4 linked regions of the Arabidopsis thaliana genome follow. Each later gene encodes a partner of the first gene's protein in a complex. Each region holds a gene or a part of one and is shown in the gene's direction. Other genes may lie near its edges.

Region 1 (5,054 bases):
TTGTTAATATTTCGGAAAATAAAAGATTCCTTTTTATTTCATGCGGATGTGGGTAGGGGAAAGTATTGTCTTTTTATGCGAAATATATTAAGTGGGGGAGGTTATATTCAATTATTCACACAAGGAGGAAAAATCGAAGTTGATAAAGTGTTTTTAAAGAACTCTATATCTACTATTATTGGTTTTACGAGATATTCATGTTACTACAATTTGTATGTAGTGTTTTTATTTTTCTATGGTCCAACTTGGAGTCCAATTTTCTAGTGTAATCGTCGCGAGGCATGCAAATCACACGTGTCATGATATTTGTGACAATAACAAGGAGTTGAGGATTAATGTAGTTCATAATGTTGCTATTATAGTTAATATTCGATGAAAAGTAGTCAGCATAAAGTATTAATAGAAAAAAACCATAACTATCAAAGTGAGTGAGATTGTGTTGCAATGGTGTTCGTATAATGGTTGAATTAATCACCAACTTAGGTCATTCATTGCTTTCCCGAAAAAACAATACTACTTAATAATTTTTTACGGCCATCAAAATCTGGACATTGCCTAATGTTTTAGGCCTAAAAAGAAATTGATTATTTATATATTATGTATGGTTATATATCAGTTATCAAATATGGACATGTGATTGATAAAATTAATAAAACTAGGATTCGAAAAAATTGAAAATGGAGAAAACTCCAAACCTGAAGGTCGATTGATGTGATTAAGAAGTATTTTGGCTGAGTAGACCACTTTGCAACGCAATCTCAACCGATCACGACTTTTCAAACATAGTCGTCATATCCACATTCTTATGATTTGCTTGTAATTTTTATATTGCATCGTTAAAGAATACACATGAGAATTTAATAAATGATGCAAACAAAAATTAAAGATCATTAATTTGATAAAATTTTGGACCGCCATCTTTTATTTTTTAGTGAAAAAACCGCCGGCTACTTTGTATTCATCATGATTTGAGATAGTTGAAAATACGTTATAAGTCTTTATTCCAATATTCATGACAAGTAGTTATTCCTTTTGTATTCTTAGGAGTTATGTCATTTACTCTATATTGACACAACGTTACTTTGTAGTCAGATAAATATTTATGCAACGTAACCGATATTTCTATTGAAAACTGTTAACATTTTTTAACATGAAATTATTATACATTTCTATTAAATAATAATCGATCGTTTTTCATAAAGGAAAAGCTTGTTTTACGTATCTTTTAAAATTTTCTAGATAATATATAAATATTTCCGACCAAGATCAATTTCCTTTAATTAAGGTCCGAAATAAAAATATTGATAAACAAAAAAAGTATCCAAAAGATTCCTGGTATATTCATTTAGCTGGCATGGCTAGTGCAGTACAAAATACAAACTCTAATTCCAAGAAAACAAAATAACGCAATAATGCAAAGTGCAAACGGACGAGAGCAATCGATTCATATATGGTTCTCTTCTCGATGTAATGCAATCACATGACTAAAACTGGCTCAAATTAGGCCTTTATACAAGACACTTACCTGTAAATAGACTAATATTTGTTTATATAAAACCATCAAATAATATTGTAAACAAATATATATATATATATGTATGTATGTGTTATATATATGTATGTATGTGTTATATCGTGTATAACTATTTAATTTGTTTAATTCACTTGTTCGATTGTATCTTCTTCTTAAACTTAAATCATCTTTTGGTTATATGTGTGTGTCTAATAACTATGTAATCTTTCTTTCAATTCTAATAAAATAAAACAAGATGTTAAAAAAAAAAAAACTATTTAACTATCCATGGTTGATGACTCGTACTTAAGACAAATAATCAAATTTCGTGATTCTAAAAATGAATGAAATTGATTGATATATAAGTGGGATTAGAAAAAAAAGAGTCAGATAAGTGTTATCTCGCGGTTATAATTTCAACGGTGCTAAGATAAGGATAAGGTTTGCGAAACTATATACTAATGCAACAATGGGTACCGTAGGTTTGTGATACCTAATTTGATCTAACCAACAGAATCTCTTCGTACTAGTGTAATCGAGTGGCTGAGCTGTTGATATAGAGATACGTAGTACTATTATTGTAAATAAAGAACCCAAAGAATCAAATTTGTCGACAACAAAATAAGGGGTGATAATCCGATGCACGTGGATTTGGTGAATGTATTGGATAATGCTAGTCACGTAGAAGAAAGTAATCTTATTTTGGGCCATAATTTTAGTAAATGTTTTTGAGTCTACGTAAAGAAGAGTAATTTTCATGGCAATCGCAATTTTCGCTGACAATTGATTATTTTGATATAATGTGAAATTGGTTAGGTTGGTGATAGTAGCTAGTTTGAAGCCTAACTTAGGCTTGTTATTGAGGTATAATACATTATTAACCATAAGTATTAGACAGGTTTTGGACAAATATATTTATTGGTCGCTTTGGCAGCATTGAAAAACCCTAAAAGCCACTAGAATGGATGTCTTCGAATGTCAGTTCACATAAATGTTCGCTAGCTTAATTTTATTTTCTTTTTTAAAAGAGAGGAAGCAATGATAACATAAACATTTTTATAGTGTTTTTTTTGAAACAAAAAGTTAGTTTTCTTCCTCAAATTCGATAACTAAATTACACCATAAATGAGAATATGTTTTTAGTTAAGTAGTTAAATCCATTTGATTCTACCTTTTTTACCAGAGTTTGACTCTACTAAGTCGTGTTACTTCGCATAATAAGGATTGACTATGAATCGTGTCTTGTTTATAAAAAAAAGAAAAAAAAAATTACACAACAAAGTTAAGAAAATTCAAATTTATTAATTTAATAAGCATACTTTGAATATAAATAAATCCTAAAACTCAAACTAATAAAAAAAGTATTTTTTTGTGTAGTATTAAAAGATGCAGAATCCGAAATAATGTATTTTATTGTAGAAGTGATTCAAAAGACCTTATCTCGTAGTCACTTGTAGCATTATTGGTTTAAGGTTAAAGAAAACATTTAAAACTCTGTATACATCATACATGACATCTTTACAAATTGCAAAATATACATTTTTAATCAGCTACTCTATTCTTAAATTCCTTTAATTAACGAGGTTATACAGTTCGATACGTTTAAGCAACAAAAAGTTCGATGCCACTAATAATTTAATTTTTGTTCTCTTCTTATCTTATAGATTGTTGCAGCCTGCAGGCTTGCAGCATAACGAGTTACATAACTATATACAAAGGCCCAATAGACACCTCAAAGGCCCAATAAAAAAGCCCAGGAAAAACGAAAACGAAGATATGAAGTTCTTCTCTAATCCGAAGCAAGAGGCTCAAACTCACTTTCACTTGCACAAAGATAAGGAAACCATGTCTGTGTCAGCGATCTTTGGTACCGGAATCGTCACCGTTGCTGCTTCTCCGGTTCTCCGCCAATTTCAAGTTCCAAAATTGGGTAATGGAGGAGGATTAGGGATGGTGATAGAGTGTTCGTCGAGGCCACAGAAGAAATCGACGGCTCATCACAGGAAGACGAGGCCGAAGAAGACTCAGCCTTGGGACATTAAGAGAAAGCCTACTGTTTACGCTCCTCTTCCTCCTCTTCCGGCGGAATGGAGTCCGTTCACTCTCGCTTCTGACGACGGTGGTGCTGCCACTGCTGCGGGAGATTTGGTTTCAGGCGCTGCCTAGTTGGTATGAGTTATCTGCTGATTTGGTTGTAATCTAGTTTGAGAACTTTTGTTGTTGTTTACTGTGTTTTCAGTTTTCTGATGTTTGTTGTTGGGTTTGTTTGTGTTTGATTGGTGAATGAATGGACCAAATTTGCGATTTATAAAGCTTCAACCTTTCTCCTCTGTTTTTGAGTTTAAAGGTCTCAACTTTATAGTTTATAGCTCTCGTCATTGTCATCTATGTTGCTTCTCTATAATTGCTTTTTTCCTTTTGGGTCTCATTAATTTCTGCAAGTAGTAATTGAATTGGGATGACAAGAGTTTAAGTTTGATATGTGAAAATGAAAGCACAATGGTATCTGTTTTGTGGCGGTTGATGCTGGAGTTGTTGTCAAATGCTCTGTTTGCTGCCATAGCAATGGGAATGTAGCTTCTAAAGAGTACGGTATAGTATACCGCATTATTGGAATTTTAAAATTTCCCTTTAGATTGGATTCAGGTGAAACGGCAATGTGCTCTGCTCACCATAGTGCAACACTTGGTCTAAACACTCTATTGTAGATTTTTAAGCCAAGTGATCTAAAGTGTGTTTGATGAAGAGTTTCAGCAAAAACATTTTTAGAAATGTTTATATCAGTTATGGGTTGATCACTCTGATTCTTGAATCTATCTTGTATCGGTCTAGTCCCAGGAGAAATTTAGAAGATCGATTTATCTTGCATTGCATGTTTATGGAGTCAATTCCAAGATCAACATCAATGGCTATACATTTCATAAAGCACGCATACAGAGTACATCCCGTTGAACCCATTAAACCCTGACACCTTAAAAGCTTAAGTCAAATCATCTGGAGAAATACACAATGAAGATACAAATACAGAGAGTTCGAAAGAATAAATAGTGTGAAAACAGAGGCAATCTATGAGTTTAACACAAAAGAGTGGAACCAAAACCAGTTTTTTGGGAAGAATGAGCTTCACTTGGGATGTTAGTGCTAGAGTTTTCAATGTAAGTCTGCCACTGGCCCTTTGGAGATTCATTACCTTTTGCTTGATCCTTGAAACAACCATTAGCACTTGGAGTTTTGTTGATTTTTACTTTACCTTTTACATCATCATTCCTTGGGGATGGAACTCTGTTCTCTTCAGGTTCAAACACAAAACTGAAACCGGATTTCAAAACTTCAAGCGTAGCTTCCCCACCAGTACCAGTTCTCACACTAAACTCAAGGGATGCTTTGGTCGGAGCACATTTAGGACCACCTTGGCCTTTAACAAGTTTTATGAAGTCTAAGCAGTTGGTGTAGCCAATAAAGACATGATCTGATTCAACTGTTTCTTCTTGGTTGTCTTGTTCAATCAAACTTCCAACCTTCCAAGTAATGCTGCTGGAAG
Region 2 (6,453 bases), on another chromosome or scaffold:
CGGCGGAGATAAGGAAGAAGAAGGGTCTGAGTTTAAGTGGAGAGATCATTGGTATCCAGTTTCTTTGGTTGAGGATTTGGATCCGAATGTGCCAACCCCGTTCCAGCTCTTGGGTCGAGACCTTGTACTCTGGTTTGATCGGAATGATCAGAAATGGGCAGCCTTTGATGATCTCTGCCCTCACCGGCTCGCTCCTTTATCTGTAATCTCTCTCTCTTGGAAGAAACAGTTCAAGTAGTTTATAACTGTGATTTGGATTTGGATTAGAAGAATAAATTATTGTAGATGATTGTTTATTGTAAAGTTTTGATTTTTAAAGTATATCAATTAGGTTAAAAGCTTCAAAGAATAAAATATTAGGGTCAGAATCAGAACAGTTTTGTGTTGTTGTTATTGTTATGACTTATGAGCAAAAAGAAGTAAACTTTGTTGTGTATGTAACCAAAGTTTTGAGCTTGACTCATTGATGTGTTTGTGTATGTGTTGATGCATTGTGGTTATGTAGGAAGGAAGGTTGGATGAGAATGGACACTTGCAATGTTCGTATCATGGATGGTCATTTGGTGGGTGTGGATCTTGCACTAGGATTCCTCAGGCTGCTACTTCAGGTCCTGAAGCTCGTGCTGTTAAATCCCCGAGAGCTTGTGCTATTAAGTTCCCGACAATGGTGTCTCAAGGTCTTCTCTTTGTGTGGCCTGATGAAAATGGTTGGGATAGAGCCAATTCAATTGAACCCCCTAGGTAACGAAAATGATTATCTTCTCAGGCTTCCATGAACATAGCATACTCGTTTTATTACTCGTTTTATTAAATGCGTTGATCTTTAACATAAAAGGTTGCCGGATGATTTCGATAAACCGGAATTTTCGACGGTGACAATTCAAAGGGATCTTTTCTATGGATATGATACTCTCATGGAAAATGTATCTGATCCTTCCCATATAGATTTTGCTCATCACAAGGTGTTGTTTTCTTTCTCAAAGCTCCCAATGTGTTTGCATTTCCACTAAGGGATATTATCCTCAGGCGATGATTACGTGTTGTAAACAGGTTACAGGAAGAAGAGACAGAGCCAAACCATTGCCGTTCAAGGTGGAGTCAAGTGGGCCTTGGGGTTTCCAAGGTGCGAATGATGACAGTCCAAGGATAACCGCAAAATTTGTTGCTCCGTGCTATTCTATGAACAAGTGAGTGTTGAGTTTGCTCACTATACATAATAAATGGTTAGCATACAGTTGCATAGAATGAAATTGTGTATCCTTGTCTACAGAATTGAGTTAGATGCGAAACTACCAATCGTCGGTAATCAAAAATGGGTCATTTGGATTTGCTCATTCAATATACCAATGGCTCCAGGAAAGACCCGTTCCATCGTTTGCAGCGCCCGTAACTTCTTTCAGTTCTCTGTACCAGGACCAGCTTGGTGGCAGGTAAAACAAACTTTGATTCCATCTCTAATCCGATTTTACTACGTAAATTCTTCTGAAGCTGTTCCTTGTTAGGTTGTACCAAGATGGTATGAACACTGGACTTCGAACTTAGTCTATGACGGAGACATGATCGTACTTCAAGGACAAGAGAAAGTATTCCTCGCTAAATCAATGGAGTCACCAGACTACGACGTGAACAAACAGTACACAAAGCTCACATTCACTCCAACCCAGGCAGACCGTTTTGTTCTAGCATTCAGAAACTGGCTCAGACGGCATGGTAAGAGTCAGCCTGAATGGTTCGGCTCCACCCCGTCTAACCAACCTCTCCCTTCCACTGTCTTAACCAAGCGTCAGGTGAGCCATCAATCATGCATCCTAACATCATTTGATTGATCTCTATATATATACAAACACATGTCTGAAAACGTGACAAATTTGAACAAACAGATGCTAGATAGATTTGATCAGCATACACAAGTATGCTCTTCCTGCAAAGGAGCTTACAACAGTTTCCAAATCCTCAAGAAGTTTCTCGTTGGCGCGACGGTTTTCTGGGCCGCCACGGCTGGTGTTCCTTCTGATGTTCAGATTCGACTGGTTCTTGCTGGTTTATCACTGATATCAGCTGCTTCTGCATATGCTTTACATGAACAAGAGAAGAACTTTGTGTTTAGAGATTATGTACATTCTGAAATCGAGTAGATTTGTTGTGTATATGTATAATCATCATACAAAGTACAAACATTGTAAATCAAAATCCAGAGGAACTTTTAGCACTATAAAACCGATTTAACCGTTAAATTTTGGGTACTCAATTGAACTTTATAAAACTTTTAAGTAAGAAAACAGAAAAGTAGAATAATTACGGGGTCAAATTCGAAACATAAGAAAAACATTCGTCACTTCACTTGAGCAAGCACACGAAAAGCCGATAAGAAGATAACAATTACTACAACTGTGCGCTCTTGTTATCTCTGCTTTGAAGTGAAATCAGCTTTGGCTATGGCTTCTTCGACAGCTTTGTCTCTCTCATGGAGCTCCTCTCCTTGTTGGTCACACAGCTTCAATGGCGGTGCAAATGAAACCCTAAAAGTATCTGAGCGAAGGTTCAATTTTGAAGTTGTTTCCCAGAAGAAAGCTAAGAAACTTCGCAAGGTAAAAGTCATTACCTTTCATGGGTTTCCTTCAAAAATTTGATTTGGCTTTTAGTTAGTTTTTGATTTGAGCTTGTGTTTCTGAAGAATTTTGGTGGAGATGAAAGTAAAAGACTTGAAGATGCTTAATTTATGGGTTTAGTGTAAAAACATCGTCTTTGTTCTTGTATCAGCGTAGTTAGGAAGAAAGATGAATCAACATTAGAAAAGTAGACGCCTTTATATTACCAGTTTAGTTTCAAGTAGTGAAGATAAATTGGTTTGAAGCTTTGTTTCTGTGTAGAGAAATGGAGTAAGTGAAACACTAATGGTAAATCTTGTTTTGTGTCTTTAAGGTAATTTTGAAAGAGGATGTGACGGATTTGGGTAAGCAAGGGCAATTACTTGATGTGAAAGCTGGATTTTTCAGAAACTTCCTCTTGCCTACTGGAAAGGCTCAGCTTATGACTCCACTTCTGCTCAAGTAATTCACCTCAACTTCGAAATTTCCGTTCGCTTTTGTATGCTCTTACTATTCGGTTCTAAGGCCTTTGTATTTCGAGGGACTTTGCTACAATGTTGTAAGATCAACAAGAAAAACATCATTTTCTTTCTTTTTGTGTGTGTGTTTTTCCCCCAGGGAATTGAAGATGGAAGACGAACGGATTGAGGCAGAGAAGCAAAGGGTAATCTGATATGAATACATTGATTGTTTTTATTTGATCATCATGTAAAGTTTTGGTGTTTGAGTGATCACCAAAAAACTCTTTGGTTATTGATTTTCATCTGTTTGTTGGTTTTTTCTTTGCGTGGAACCTTTTTTGCAGGTGAAAGAAGAGGCACAACAACTGGCGATGGTATTCCAAACCGTTGGTGCTTTCAAGGTTAAACGCAAAGGCGGTAAAGGCAAACTGATATTTGGATCGTAAGTCCTACTTAAGCAAATCTAGATTTTAACAGTCTTGAGAATAGTGTTTAGCCTGTACTTAACTTTATATTTTCCTGCAGTGTCACAGCTCAAGACCTCGTCGACATCATCAAATCACAGCTCCAAAAGTAACAACATAGAAAATTTTACATTTCCACATAAAAAGCTACAAGCTTTCTCATGTGGGCGGTTTAGTTGGATCAGTCTACATTTGGTTTTTAGTGTTGTTCGAAGAACCTAATATGGTTTTATCTGCTTCTCTGTGGCTGTGTTTTGCAGGGACATCGACAAACGCCTTGTCTCTCTCCCAGAAATCCGTGAAACCGGAGAATACATAGCCGAACTCAAGCTTCACCCCGATGTCACTGCTCGAGTTAAGATCAATGTTTTCGCTAACTAAACCTTCAACGATTCAAGACTCCTACTGCATCCCAAGGTATTTCTTGATTTTCCATGATCATGTGGCTTTTAACCATAAATGAAACTAAGTATTAGTTTTGTCTTAGTTCGTGTCTTAATTGGCATGAAATAAGTAGTTAAACCGATGTTCTGAACTCTGAACATCGGCATATAAACATTGGTCGGGAATATTGGCTGTTGAACGGAGTTTTGCGTTTTAAGGTCTAGCCGCAAACGCAGATGCTAATTGTCCATCGCACTGTGTTTGGTGTTTTGAACTTGCAGGAACGTATAGAGAGGGAAAAGAGAGTAGCCTCTTGTGGTGAGGATTGAAGGTTGTGAAGTTTTTCCTTTAGATTGTTTGATGCATTTGTATTTTTGCTATTTTTGGAATCTGGAAACGCTAAAAGTATAATATTCTCTTGCAAGTTATGATATTTACTTGAAGTTATATTGTATTCATTTGTCTGTTGAAGTGATGAGAATGCTTAAATTAACACTAACAAGCTGTTTAAAAAACTAACAAATAACCAGAAATCTGAAAAACTATGTCGCCGTCTCTTGTTCCCACAAGATTGACTATTTTTAGAGAGTTGTTGTTTAATGACAAAACCCAGATGTTTTTTTGTTTCACTGCTTCTCTTCAATTCTGTTACCAAAACCTTTTTTGTTTAAGACAGTTATAGCTCTTGATTCGGTTTTTATAATCATATGATTCTCTTGTTTCTATCATCTTTGTTCTTGTTAACAAGTTTTGTCCAATGGAGTTTAATGGTGATAGGATCCCTTACCTGAGAGATACATGGAGAGATGCAAACATGATCTGCGGTATCTTGCCTATTAACCCGAGCTCGAGCGGGCTATGGCCCTCCCCGAAGCTCCCAGATCCTCAAGCAAACATTGAGTTCTGGAATTACATGTTTCCACATGTTCAGATCATTTTCCTTATCGTCACTATTCTCTGGCAATTCTTCCATTTCTTCCTCAGACGTCTCGGCATGATTCGTTTCACCTCCCATATGCTTGTAAGAACTTTACTCAATTCTTGAATCTTCAAATCTCTCTTCCTCTTTGTTTGCATTGCTTATGTTTGATATTCTGTGTGGTTTTGCCAGACTGGGATTCTCTTGAGCAAGTCGTTTCTTAAGGAGAATACACCGGCTAGGAAATTCCTCTCGACGGAAGACTATAAAGAGACTCTGTTTGGTTTAGTGGGTGCATGTTCCTACATGATGTTTTGGTTCTTGATGGGAGTTAAAATGGACTTGAGTTTGATCCGCAGCACCGGGAGAAAAGCTGTAGCTATCGGTCTTTCCTCAGTGTTACTCTCTATAACGGTTTGCGCCTTGATCTTCTTCTTGATCCTAAGAGATGTAGGGACGAAAAAGGGAGAACCGGTTATGAGTTTCTTTGAAATCATTTTCATCTATTTGATCCAATGCCTTTCGTCGTTTCCTGTAATTGGAAACCTTCTTTTTGAGCTTAGGCTCCAGAATTCAGAGCTTGGCCGTCTCGCTATGTCTTCTGCAGTGATCAGTGACTTCAGCACCTCGATCCTCTCTGCGGTTCTAGTCTTTCTAAAGGAACTCAAGGACGATAAATCTCGGCTTGGATCAGTTTTTATCGGAGATGTTATTGTTGGAAACCGTCCTATGAAGCGTGCGGGCACAGTGGTCTTGTTTGTTTGTTTTGCCATATACATATTCAGACCATTAATGTTCTTCATTATCAAGAGAACACCTTCTGGTCGTCCCGTAAAGAAATTCTATATATATGCAATCATCATTCTTGTCTTTGGATCAGCCATTCTTGCCGATTGGTGCAAGCAATCTATTTTCATAGGACCTTTTATCTTAGGCTTAGCTGTTCCACACGGTCCACCTCTAGGCTCTGCAATACTTCAGAAGTTTGAGTCTGTGGTTTTCGGCACATTCCTTCCTTTCTTTGTGGCTACCTCCGCGGAAGAGATCGATACTTCGATTTTACAGTCTTGGATAGATCTCAAGAGTATTGTCATCCTAGTGTCTGTATCGTTTATTGTCAAATTCGCTCTCACGACTCTCCCTGCCTTCTTATACGGTATGCCAGCAAAGGATTGCATTGCTCTGTCTCTAATTATGTCATTCAAAGGCATTTTCGAGTTCGGTGCTTACGGTTATGCGTATCAAAGAGGGGTAAGTAAATGTATTTGACATATTTCCTTCAAAATGTATCTAACACATTTTGATACACTCAGAAACTGAGCTTAGTATTCATTTTGATTGCAGACTATTCGGCCGGTGACCTTTACGGTTTTATCTTTGTACATCTTGTTGAACTCTGCAGTCATACCTCCGCTCTTAAAACGCATTTATGATCCTTCGAGGATGTACGCAGGATACGAGAAGCGGAACATGCTTCACATGAAACCAAACTCCGAGCTCAGGATTCTATCGTGTATCTACAAAACAGACGATATCCGTCCGATGATCAATCTCCTTGAAGCTACTTGTCCCTCAAGAGAAAACCCTGTAGCTACTTACGTCCTTCACTTGATGGAGCTAGTAGGACAAGCCAATCC
Region 3 (5,845 bases), on another chromosome or scaffold:
AAAGTGTAACTTCAATCTTATTTTAGACCCTATATATAAAAAGACTTGTAGTTAAAGTGGATCTACAAATTTATAAAGAGAACTATGCCCAAGAGCAAAAAGAGAAGACTAGGTTTAGTTTTTTCTATTTTTCTTTACGGTCCACAGAGGGAATAAACCCTTTGTTTAAGTGAAGAAAAAGGTTAAGCAACCATTTGGTATCATTCTTCTTTGATGATCACTCATGTGTGCACATAAGTTACATAACAATCTAAAAAAGTTTCTTTTTGACTCCAGGAGAGGCCAATATAATCTTACCTTTATGGATGCAGATTCCTTTCATGAGTCTGCGGCTACAATAAAAAGGAGGGATCAAGGAAAGAACAAAAAAACAAGTTAATGGTGGGTACAAGAATATGAGAAAGCATATAATAAACCAGGGAGTGTCAGGACATAAATAGAAGATCACACAATCTGGAGAATAGAGTGATTTTACATGTGAAAACATTCCATTGAGAACAGAACAATAATACCTGCATGATTGTCAGTGATTAGATGCAAATAGCATGAGATTGACTGATATGTATAGCAGGTTACCAAAATGCCAAAAGGGAAAAGAATGCAATAGCAAAACTGCTCTGTCTCATCGTTATAACAAGAGCACAATAGACTTAGCACCAACCGTGTACATACCATTTTACCCAAAACGATCAGAGAGAACATCTTTTCTGCACTGTGATGAGCATGATTCAAGACACATTAATCCAAACGCTCAATGAATATGGAGATCACTGGTTCCAAACGAAAATCACACATTGGTATCATCAAACATGAAATAAGAACCAAAGTCTTTAACCAGCCTGCAAAAATATTCGGCAGAATCGCAGGATATAGGACTGTTCATGTCTGAGACAGAGCATACTACCATACCTAATCAGAGCATGGTTCAAACAATAAATCAACAGTAAAGTGATTCACATTAGAACATTAACCCTAAGAACCCAATAGCTTGATTCAAGAAACTGAATGAAGGAAAGAAATGAGAGATGTTTTAGAAACATGTACAAAGGTACAGAAGGGGTAACACCGAATATCAGCTAGAAAGAAGCAACAAATCAATTCACAAACGAGACATACATATAGACATAACATATACTTCACCAAATTCATATTTTGTCATCAGCCATTTCCTGGTGTTCTAACACCAACAAATCTGATGATAAGTAAAGCCTTAGAAACGCCGCACACTTGTGAAATTCAACAACTTTTTGCCATCCTCAACATTCACGGCGATAATCACGGCCATAGCTGTAGTTTGGCCTAGCTCCGAAATCACTCTCAGACCTCTCTGCAGCAGCTCTCTCTTCCTCTAAGCTCAATCCACCCATCGTCTTCTGCAACTGCCTGTGATCATAAGGAGAGTAATCGACTGGTGCCGATGGACCATTAGGCACTCCGTAGCTAGACAATCGCGAGCCCATAGGTGGAGCTTGTGGCTTGTACTCGGTAACCAGAAAGGCATCAACGGGTGCTGAGGGCCCACTAGGCGGTGGACCGTAGTTAGAAAACCGAGGAGGAGCTAAAGGAGGCTGCTTGTGATCAATCGATGAGAAGGCATCAACGGGAGCAGATGGGCCACTTGGGAGGCCGTAATTGGAGGCACGATCGTACATTGAACGTGGTGGAGGAGGCGGATAATAATACCCGGAATAGTAGTGATCAGTGAATGCGTAAGGAGACGGAGACGGTGACTGTGAGAATTCTCTGTAGTCACGCTGAGGAGATGGAGCGGTGATCGGTGCTTGAGGAGGAGGAGGAGGAGGAGGGCTAGGGGAGTAATAATGGTTTCCTTGAGGGGCAGAATAGTAATCTAGTGGTTGAGATTGAGGACGTGGCGGAGGATGCTGCGGTGGAGGGATTGGTCTGTCTTTGATCGCGAGCTTCAAACGAATCTTCCCCTGTGGTCGACCCGATGGACGAACCAGCTCGAGCGAGTTGATCAATTCCGGAATCATTGACCCGTCCGAGTCAATCAAACGAGCTAGAGGAAACCTAACCGATCCGACGAGGGTTTTCGCCAGATCCGAAGAATTGGAATGAAAAACCTCGATGTTGAGGACCGATTCGTGGACAGATCGGGTGAGAGGAAGAGTAATCCGCTCGTTCCACACCGGTTTGATGGAGGAGGAATCATCGGAGCGGGTGGAGAGAGGGTGGTCTTGGTCAAGATACAGAACAACGTAGGGTTTCAGGTCACCGTTACGCCAGTTGACATTCTTCAGGTGCTTGGCAGAGACGACGGTGACAACCAGGTCGAGTGGCTCCGACGAAGTCATGAATACGGTGCGTTTCAAGACGAGACGGTGGCTTACGCGGTGGTCTTAGCTAACGTGCGCTCGTATCTCAAATATCTGTATCAAAGTCTCAGCTATCATCAACTATCATCGTTTTATCACAGAGTTTTATGTCTCAAAAAACCTGCTGGCTATATAAGAGGCTTTTGACTTTTGGAGTTTGACTCTTTCTTACTAGCGACAGCTGGAGTTATTCATGAACAGGATAGTTATATCCTTATGTCCAAACAGATGCATAAATTCTCACCAAGCACAAGATAGGCATTTGAAGAGTGGATAACACTTTCTCAGTCTTTCTTCTTCTTCTTCGTTGTGATAGGTCAGGTCAGGGAACAACAATGGCTTCTTCTGCAACAGCACCAAATTCGCTATCTTTCTTCTCATCTTCTCTCTTTTTATCCTCCTCTCACCAAATCCCTAAAACCTACATTTCCGTTTCAAAACTCGGCTCCGGCAGAGTCTCGAAGCCGCTTTCTGTCTCTTCCCAGCTAGCGACTCTACCGATTCTATCATTCGAAGGAGAGAAGGTCGGAGAGACGTATCTAGACCTCAAAGCGGCGCCGGAGGATACCGCGCGTGCCGTTGTGCACCGAGCCATCGTGACGGACCTGAATAACAAGCGGCGAGGTACTGCTTCCACACTGACTCGCGGTGAAGTTCGTGGTGGTGGAATTAAACCTTACTCACAGAAGAAAACTGGCCACGCGAGGCGTGGATCTCAGAGAACACCGTTACGTCCCGGTGGAGGTGTGGTGTTTGGGCCAAGACCTAAGGATTGGTCAATTAAAATCAATAGGAAGGAGAAGAAGCTAGCGATATCTACGGCGTTATCGAGTGCGGCATCTGCGGAAGGTGGTGCGATAGTGGTGGAGGAATTTGGGGAGAAGTTTGAGAAGCCCAAGACTAAAGATTTCTTAGCTGCGATGCAAAGGTGGGGATTGGATCCCAAGGAGAAAGCTATGTTCTTGATGATTGATGTGGATGAGAATGTGGCGAAATCGAGTAGGAACATTGGAACCTTGAGGATGTTGACGCCTAGGACACTGAATCTGTTTGATATTTTGAACGCTGATAAGCTTGTTCTGACTCCTGCGGCTGTGGAGTTCTTGAATGCGAGGTACGGTGTTGATGCGGTGGAGGAAGAAGATGACGATGAAGATGAGACGGAAGGTTAGTGTTTTCTTGAAAGGAACTGGCTTGTTGTCGAAATTTGATGTTTTGAATGTTGTGTTTGATCGTTTTTGTCTGGTTTTAATTTCTTGAAGAGGTAGAAATATGATGTGTTAATATGGAAAAGTAATTATTTGTTTGTGTTATGAAGGGTCAGAGGAAGCTTAAGAATGAGTAGCACCCGTAGTTCCAATTGCTTCAAGTGTGGCTTAATTATGAGTTTAATCTTGAGTACATCTTCTCACTCTCCTTGATGAGGTCTTCTCTTTCCTTTTTGTGTCACAACAAGAGAAATGTGTATTTACTTTTAGAGTTTTTCTTAAGAGATCATCCTCAATTTCTTGTCATACTGATTTTGTGTCCAACTCTCAATGAAGGAGTAAGGAGTGAAATTAGATATCATGAGTAACGTTGATTGTGTGTGTATCAGTTAAGATTGAGCAACAAAGATTGACTTTAGTCATCAAGTTAACAAGAAAGAGTGGCTATTATAAGCTTTAAGCGTTGATGTTCATCTTGGTTTTGAAAATCATGAATAGTCTCACACAAATCTGTTAACAACTTGCTAAAAAAAAGGATTAGCTAGAAAACTTAGGAAGTGTCAATAGTGTATGTTATTTACAGACATTTGATGGGTCTTGGTGGGCTTAAGAAGATAGCCCAATCTTTTGAAGAAAGAGATATGAGATGCAAAATCCATGAACTTTAAGGGTCAATTTCTGAACCAGTAAAAAATGTGGTTAAAAGTGTAAGAAAACAAGAATCTTTGGAAACATGTGTAAGAAAGCAACTAATTTAACTCCCGCCCTCTCTTACCAGTTTTCTATTTTGTCTTCTCCGTCCTTACCGTGTGTTCTGAAAACTGAAAAAGAACCAAAACGAAAATCTAAAAAAACCCTTGAAAAATCTATTTTTTATTGACTGGTTATTGTTTCAAATGAAAGCTTGACCTCTCTCTTATTGATCAATTTTCGCTTCTTCAATTAAACCATATTTGTTTTTCCCTTTCAAGCATTTTGATTCTCTAGGACAAAACACAAACCGCCATAGACAGAATGCTTTGGGTTATTATCTCTCAAAGTGTTCTGAGAATTTGAACTGTTTAAAACATGGGAATCGATGCCAAAGATGTCGGAACTCTGTTCTGGAAAATTCTCAGATTTTCCACGAACATCGTTTATAGAAACGTAAGGAATCACCCAGTTGTTTCTGGTGTTTCTGCAATTATCTTCCTCCTATACATTTTTCTTCCACGCCTTTTTTATTTCGTCCTTTACTCTTCTCCGTTAATCGCATGCTCTGTGTTTTATCTTCGGAATCATCCAAGTTTTAAGCTTTTGCATATCAAAACGGATAATTGGTTTTCACCATTTTCCCAAAAGAGATCTGAGGAGGAAGAAACAAGGAAGGCTGACTTAAAGCACCAACGAAGTGTTCGACGAAACGCTAGAAGGAAAGTTGAAGAGGTTGGGAAAGATTGGGACTCTTCTCAGGCTAGTGAAGATGAGAGAGACAGAGTCATTTTAACAACTCTCTATGGTGAAATTCCCAATACTGCAAAATCTCCCAAACTTCAGAAATTCAAGAAAGATGGAGCCTTTCTTGTGTCTGAAGGTTTCTCCTTTGAGCCTAGCTTAGATGAAGAAACTCTTTCAACCACCGGGAATGTTTCCGTTGTGGATCCATCGGAGAGGTTGACTAGTGGTGGTGGCGAAACCGAGATCGAGTGTTCATCGTCATCAGAAGGCGAAGAAGAAGAAGAAACTACACGTGAAGACAAAAAGATTGTAGCTTGGACAGAGGATGATCAAAAGAATTTGATGGATTTAGGAAACTCTGAGATGGAACGTAACAAGAGGTTAGAGCATTTGATTACTAGAAGAAGAATGAGGAGATTAGTCCGACTTGCCGCTGAGAGTAGCTTAATGGATATGGAAGTTCCTCCAGTCTGTGTTGGACGGAACTATTTCGGTTTGGATCAAGAAAACTATATAGTTGATGGTCTTCAAATGCCTGAATCTGCACCTTCTGTGTTATTACCAACTAAAAACCCTTTTGATATTCCTTATGATCCACAAGAAGAGAAGCCTAACCTCTCAGGAGATAGTTTTCAGCAAGAGTTTGCAGCCAACCCTAATGATATCTTCTTCTGCCGCCATGAAAGCTTTTGTCGCAGAGTCTTTCCATTGGACAATCAGCTTGACACGAAATGGGAACCGTGGAAAAAGAAGTCAATACCACAACAAGGTACATCCTCTTGTCATTCTGAAAAATGTTGTAGCTTACAAAGTAAATGATTCTAAGTTCTACAATTCTGATCCTTGCTCATGTAGGTAGCAATG
Region 4 (6,005 bases), on another chromosome or scaffold:
CTTTCAGCGATAAAATCATGCTTGTTACATTGTTGCTAATTCAGAAAATTTAGCCTACATATCGTTAACGTTTATAAAACAGTTGGTTAACAATCACTAAAAATTAATATATTAAAAAAAGACTAAAAAATTAAAAATAAATACCGATGGATAAACTAACGACTACAATGCAAACACGATTCTATTATCTTTACTCTTCGTTAACAACAATTAGAAAATAACAACACCATCATGAAAAAACAACATTTTTCTTGTGTAATTGGGTATCGTTGATGCTTACAATACAACGAATGTAGAACGAACAGAGTAAATACCTCTCTTTTTCAATGACATCATTATGAACGAATGAATTTGTGGTCCACTAAAGTTGGGATCGGCCCGTTAAAAAAGCCCATAAACCAAAAAATATTGGCTGACGAATATTTCAAAACTGCCATTCTTTATTTGTTTACATAACTCAAAAACATGACGATAATCAACCAATATTAAAACGCCACGTGTTCCCTCGCGGTCATTTATCATTGAATCGAAGAGCACCCGCCCAGCTTGTTTCAATCGTCGTCGTTTTTCTCTTTGATTTGCCTGAAATTTGTTCTCTTCTTTTGGTTGCAATTTCTCGATCTCGAATTTTCTGAGAGAATACAAAACTTAATTTCTCAAACCCCAGCAGATTCGAATTTAGGGTTTCTTACACCCATTAGATTTCGCGTCGATGGCGTCCAATCGCGGTGCGGGTGGTTCTCTATACGGCGGAGCTGATCCGTATAGATCTAGGTATATTTCTAATATTATCAGTTTCTCCTTTTCTGAAATCGATTCTGGATAGAGAAAACGGGTCCTAGATTTGGTGAATTCTGCGTAAAGTACAAGTATTTATCTTTGGTGTGTGATTTGTAGAGAAGGGCTAAGCACTAGAAATGCTTCAGGTTCAGAGGAAATTCAGCTGAGGATTGATCCTATGCACTCTGACCTGGATGATGAGATTCTAGGTCTCCATGGCCAAGTCAGGCAATTGAAAAATGTAAGAAACCCTCTAAATCCCATTTCGATCTTTCTACTTTTTATCTATAGTGCCATTTGTATTGTCTTCTTGTGGTTCTGAAGGATCATTGTTCTCTTTAAGCTTTAAGTTGATCATATGAATTTGGAAATTTGTCTTCTTTTCGGTTTTGACAGTGGTTAGAGCTTGGTTAATTAGTTGTGTAGGTGTTTTTTTGTTCAGGGTACTATGATAATGTTATTGTTCACAATACTTATCAGTCAGTCCACGATTAATTAGTTGAATCCACTTGTCTGATGTCTTTTGTATACATCTGTGGTTATTGTTTTATATCACCACCCTTCTTGAAGGAATCAGTCGACATTCTCTACAATTCCTTGTGTTTTACCTTGCACTTTTGCGCATTATTTATCCCTCATGATTTTTTGTTATATCGTTGATCGCTTATTTTGATGCAGATTGCTCAAGAAATTGGGTCAGAAGCAAAGTCTCAGAGGGACTTCTTAGATGAACTGGTATGTTGTTGATGTCCCTTTAGTTTTTTCTTTATCCATCATAGTAAATTGCAATGTAAGCACTTAACATCAGTAACATGCATTCATTTACTCTTCTTTACCTTTAAGATGAATCACTGATTATATATAGTATATCCGAATATCGGTTTCCTATAACTTGTTTCAGATGTCTCTGTTCATTATTAGTTGGGAAAATATAGTTTCATCCTAACATATGTTAGATAACTTTAACCGTAGCTTACAAAACCAATGAATCTTGATAAATCCAAAGTGTAGATTATGTTTACTTAGGATCTGGTCTGAACGCTGGTGGTGGGTAGGATTAGATATCTTCAATCTCACCTAGTTTGGTGAAATGCAGCAGGAAATGGTTACAGCTTATCATTGAGTTCCTGCCACTTTGTCAATGAGAATGTTGGTGTTGAATGTGTTCATTGCTTTTAGTTCGTTCTAGTTTTTTCTTTTGTTACCTAGAAGAACATCCTAGAGAAGATAATGACAAACAACTAGATTTGGTAGTGAGACTGCAGAAACAAGCATTTAGTGCTGTTATAAGCAAAATAAAATAAGTAGACGAAATGTTGTTCTTGTCTGAAACATAAAACGCTTCAATGGTATTTTGTTTTTGTTTGTGACAGCAAATGACATTGATCAGAGCGCAAGCAGGGGTGAAGAACAACATAAGGAAACTGAACCTAAGCATAATCCGTAGTGGTAACAACCACATAATGCACGTAGTTCTTTTCGCGCTCCTCCTCTTCTTTATCCTCTACATGTGGTCCAAGATGTTCAAAAGATAGATAGAGAGACTCATGGCATACTTGTGTTACCCCCCAAAAAAAAACCCTTGATGAATGTTGGATAAGTTGTAGAAAATATCCTCTAGATTACAAACATTTTGTGGTTCTTCTCGTTACCTGTTATATAGAGTGCCTGTTTTTAACAGTTTACATGAAGCAAAATTGTATCACAGAACAACAGCATGAGATATTTTAGACCAGTTCAAATCTGGCCTTAACTTGATTAATTACCCGTCCGGTCCAATTCAGTATTGGGCTTTTATAGTCTTATGGGCTGAAGTGTCGTGATACGTGTATTATTATGGTTGGTTCTTATGCGTAAGTTTATGGTGGTATCGTCCGTAGACGATAGAGGTTCCACACTATGTAAAGGAGACCGGAGAAACAAAGGAACTGGGTTTGGAGATAAGAAGTGGGAACTTGAATGGCTTCCTTATCCACTTCCGTTGTAGCTTCGGCTTCGTCGCGTTTATGGAATCCTGCTGCCTCCAACGGCAAGATTTGCGTTCCTTCTGCTTCGCTTTCTCTGCGTACGGGTTGTAGACGGAGTTCGTCCTCTCTCACTTCTTCCGCTTCTTCGCAATTGCTTCATTGCTCGTTTCTCTCGTCGCCTGTTTCCCTAGCGTCTCCATTTTCTGGTACATCTTAAATTGGTTCGAATTATTGTTTGTGTTTAGCTTCTGGTGATGTAATGTATCAAGTTCTTTTACCCAATTTTGATTTTTTTTTCTGGTTCTTTGGGTTTGGTTGATTTATCACTATTCTCGTGTGTTAGGCTCTAGCTTACTTTGCAAACACATATATTCGAAGCTTTTTTAGAAGAATTTGGGAATTGTGAAACATAGTTGTCAATGGTGAATTCGATTTGGGAGTGTGAGTGAAAGAAGCCATTTTGTTTGTTTCTGATATTTCTTGTTAAGTTTATAACAACAAGTGAAGATAACATTTTGCAACTTAAGCCTCAATTTCTGATATCTTAGCTCATGTATTTGTAGCCGCAAGTAAATGTTGTTTGATTTTTAGTACAAAAATCTTTTAGCTCATGTCGATTATTTAGGTACAATGGTTATAGATTTGCTTCAATATGTCACATGAACTTGTTCCTCCTCCTTTGATCATAATTTTCTTGTAAAGTATATTGTACGACCATTGTAGCTAGGCTAAGATTTGAGCAGTGAATTATAAGCTTTGCCAATTTAGCAACAGACGTTATGGTTATAGCTCAAGAGTTAAAAGGGTAACCTAGGAGAATGCATTAAAGTCATTTTGGATTTGTCTGGGTCTTGATTCTGAGCAGTGTGTTGAGAGTTTGGTATTGTATGGTGAGTTCTTTGGGTAATTAAAGGAAGGAGTTTACCGGTTCCAATATTATCAGCTTGATACACTATCAAACCTATAATGTCACATTGATCAAAATGGTGTTGCTGTCTTTTCAGGTTTGTCCATTGCGTTTGATCTCAGCAGTCAAACTAGTGGACTGAATGGCCAGAGACGCAGAGGCCTTGTGGTTAGAGCTGGAAAAGCTGCTCTGTGTCAAACTAAGAGAAGCAGATCAAGAAAATCTCTAGCTAGGACTCATGGTTTCCGTAGAAGGATGAGGACCACTAGCGGTAGAGCAACCATAAAGCGTCGACGTGCCAAGGGACGTTGGAACCTCTGTCCCAAGTCCAACCCTAGCAGCGGCAAACGGGCTTGAAGTTTGTTTCTCTCTTCACTCTATCTGTAATCTTGTTTCATGTGCTTTTTTTCCACCAGAAGATACAATGAGAAACATGGTTCGTTGAGCTCTTTTCTGCGTTTTAACTCTCTTGCATCCTTGATTCGTTTATAAATCAATGTTCTTGGAATTCATCACATGTACTACTATACTACTTGCTTCATTGAATTTGTTACTACTCGAAGTCTCAACTTCAAAGCCATAATTACTTAAAGATCTCTTCTGGCCACCAGGATAATTCTGGTGTGTAAGAATTGTTCAGATTCCAAGTAGTGTTAATGGTTGCTGAAAGTTGATGTATATAGTTTGGGGTTCAATCCCTGAAGGATTTTACTTTCATTTACTAGTTTTATTTCAACCTAACAATTACTTTTAAGTACTAACCCTAAATTATATTCCCCTTAAAAAGAAAACTGCACCAAAAACAAACTAGTTAAGAAAAATGAAACCAAAACTAAAAAAGAAAAGTTCCTTCTTATTGGAAATTAGGGAGGGATCAGATTGTGTAAAAAAGAGAGCGCCCAATAGTCGTAACAGGCTTTGGGCGGAACGCTCTTCTCGCAATATAAGCGAGTTTTTACCATTCATCATATCCCCTTTAACTTGCCTGAAGGATCATGCCTTTTACGTAATTAGCTCTTTCTTTTTTATAGGCATGTTACTACCATCACTATCTCTACCTAAACGATGTGGGACAAAATAAACTATTCTCTTGTTTGAAATAAGGTTTCTTATCTCAAATTCATATATCTTTGTTTTTTAAAGTGGGTCTATAAAAGGCCTCTGTAGCTCTCTTTTTTTAAGGTGGGCCGATAAAAGGCCTCTGTATCCTTTTTTTTTTTTTTTTTTTTTTTTGTCTACAATGTAATAGTCTAAAGTTTTAAACCTATCTAGATGAATGAGCTATTTATCAAATATTCGATCCGTGTCACTCCTCTACTCATCAAACTCTTCATAGGAAGGAAAGTCTCCGGTCATAACATAATTCACATACGTTATTATGTTTAAAAGGTGTATGATGTGATGGACTAGCTAGTAGCTAGTAAAAGCCGTGAGTAGGATCTTAGGACGAGATGGCATGAGAATTCCATTTCTATTGCATATTGATGTTCGTGAAATGGTTGATATATGTTTACATTGAGCAAAACACAACTAAACTCAGCTAAAGTCCAAACACGCGATTTTTTTTTTTTTTATATAGTGAATTCTATCCATCATATTACATGGAAAATATCTGTAATTTTTCCAAACTTATCCAACCACCAAAATGCACTTTAAAACTGATGAAAAGTGCAACCAGACTAGTGACACACATTCCATCGAATGAAGAGAAAAGAAAACCCACCAAAAACAGATTATCCAAAAGTGATCAAATCCAACAGATTGTTGGTTATCCCGACACGCCAACAAACTTGTCCTTGGGGATTGCATTTTAAGAGAAAACGGTTTCTCATAACCGTTGGAAATTATATATAGTCTATATATTCATATGATAGTTTCTAATATATAATAATATTATTATTTCAAATTTACATTATAAATAAGAGTTATCTGACACATGATGTGAAAGTCACCTAAAAAGATGTTTAAAAAAAAGGGTAAATTGCGCACAGTAGCCGTTGACTCACTTTTAATTTTAGATTTTGACATTGTGGGCTGGGCCTTTCATTTCTTAGCCATTCAGCCAAAAACTGATCAAAATGCCCCTGACGAAACTGAACCCGGTTTGTACGTACGGACCGCGTCGTTGGAATCCAAGAGAACCGGATTTGTACGTACACTGTTCATCGACGAGAAATGCATTAAATGTTTTCTAGGTTTCGGCGAATTTGACACTTGAGATTGAAATTAAAAATTTTAAAAATTGGTTGGGCTCAGAAGTTTTTCATGCTAAAAAGTTTTGACAAAACTAAAACTCATGATTACCTATTATAATAGAGATTATATTGTAAGATATTTACATAATTGAGATT

The links.
Region 2: PSRP6 (region 1) and RPL9 share a complex: the UniProt entries of both Arabidopsis thaliana proteins name them as parts of the 50S ribosomal subunit.
Region 3: PSRP6 (region 1) and RPL4 share a complex: the UniProt entries of both Arabidopsis thaliana proteins name them as parts of the 50S ribosomal subunit.
Region 4: PSRP6 (region 1) and AT1G29070 share a complex: the UniProt entries of both Arabidopsis thaliana proteins name them as parts of the 50S ribosomal subunit.

What each region holds. Positions count from the first base shown.
Region 1 is NC_003076.8:5,904,459-5,909,512, forward strand, and holds PSRP6 (plastid-specific 50S ribosomal protein 6), read left to right. Parts: upstream 1-3,130; 5' UTR 3,131-3,289; coding exon 3,290-3,679; 3' UTR 3,680-4,006; downstream 4,007-5,054. Other genes in the region: CSA1 (disease resistance protein (TIR-NBS-LRR class)), read right to left, coding at 4,416-4,477, 4,614-5,054.
Region 2 is NC_003074.8:16,384,070-16,390,522, forward strand, and holds RPL9 (ribosomal protein L9), read left to right. Parts: upstream 1-2,325; 5' UTR 2,326-2,435; coding exon 2,436-2,588; intron 2,589-2,922; coding exon 2,923-3,050; intron 3,051-3,206; coding exon 3,207-3,252; intron 3,253-3,393; coding exon 3,394-3,491; intron 3,492-3,574; coding exon 3,575-3,622; intron 3,623-3,773; coding exon 3,774-3,894; 3' UTR 3,895-3,930; intron 3,931-4,178; 3' UTR 4,179-4,654; downstream 4,655-6,453. Other genes in the region: ACD1 (Pheophorbide a oxygenase family protein with Rieske 2Fe-2S domain-containing protein), read left to right, coding at 1-202, 506-741, 836-962, 1,051-1,187, 1,271-1,430, 1,503-1,787, 1,881-2,135; CHX4 (cation/H+ exchanger 4), read left to right, coding at 4,655-4,918, 5,009-6,067, 6,161-6,453. UniProt on the Arabidopsis thaliana protein: Binds to the 23S rRNA.
Region 3 is NC_003070.9:2,246,519-2,252,363, forward strand, and holds RPL4 (ribosomal protein L4), read left to right. Parts: upstream 1-2,448; 5' UTR 2,449-2,671; coding exon 2,672-3,503; coding exon of another isoform or gene 3,504-3,508; exon of another isoform or gene 3,509-3,654; coding exon 3,655-3,671; 3' UTR 3,672-4,011; downstream 4,012-5,845. Other genes in the region: AT1G07300 (josephin protein-like protein), read right to left, coding at 298-487; AT1G07310 (Calcium-dependent lipid-binding (CaLB domain) family protein), read right to left, coding at 1,257-2,315; AT1G07330 (dentin sialophosphoprotein), read left to right, coding at 4,613-5,750, 5,837-5,845. UniProt on the Arabidopsis thaliana protein: This protein binds directly and specifically to 23S rRNA. May play a role in plastid transcriptional regulation.
Region 4 is NC_003070.9:10,147,145-10,153,149, forward strand, and holds AT1G29070 (Ribosomal protein L34), read left to right. Parts: upstream 1-2,646; 5' UTR 2,647-2,739; coding exon 2,740-2,953; intron 2,954-3,751; coding exon 3,752-4,011; 3' UTR 4,012-4,263; downstream 4,264-6,005. Other genes in the region: AT1G29060 (Target SNARE coiled-coil domain protein), read left to right, coding at 713-774, 898-1,021, 1,459-1,515, 2,154-2,315. UniProt on the Arabidopsis thaliana protein: This protein binds directly to 23S ribosomal RNA.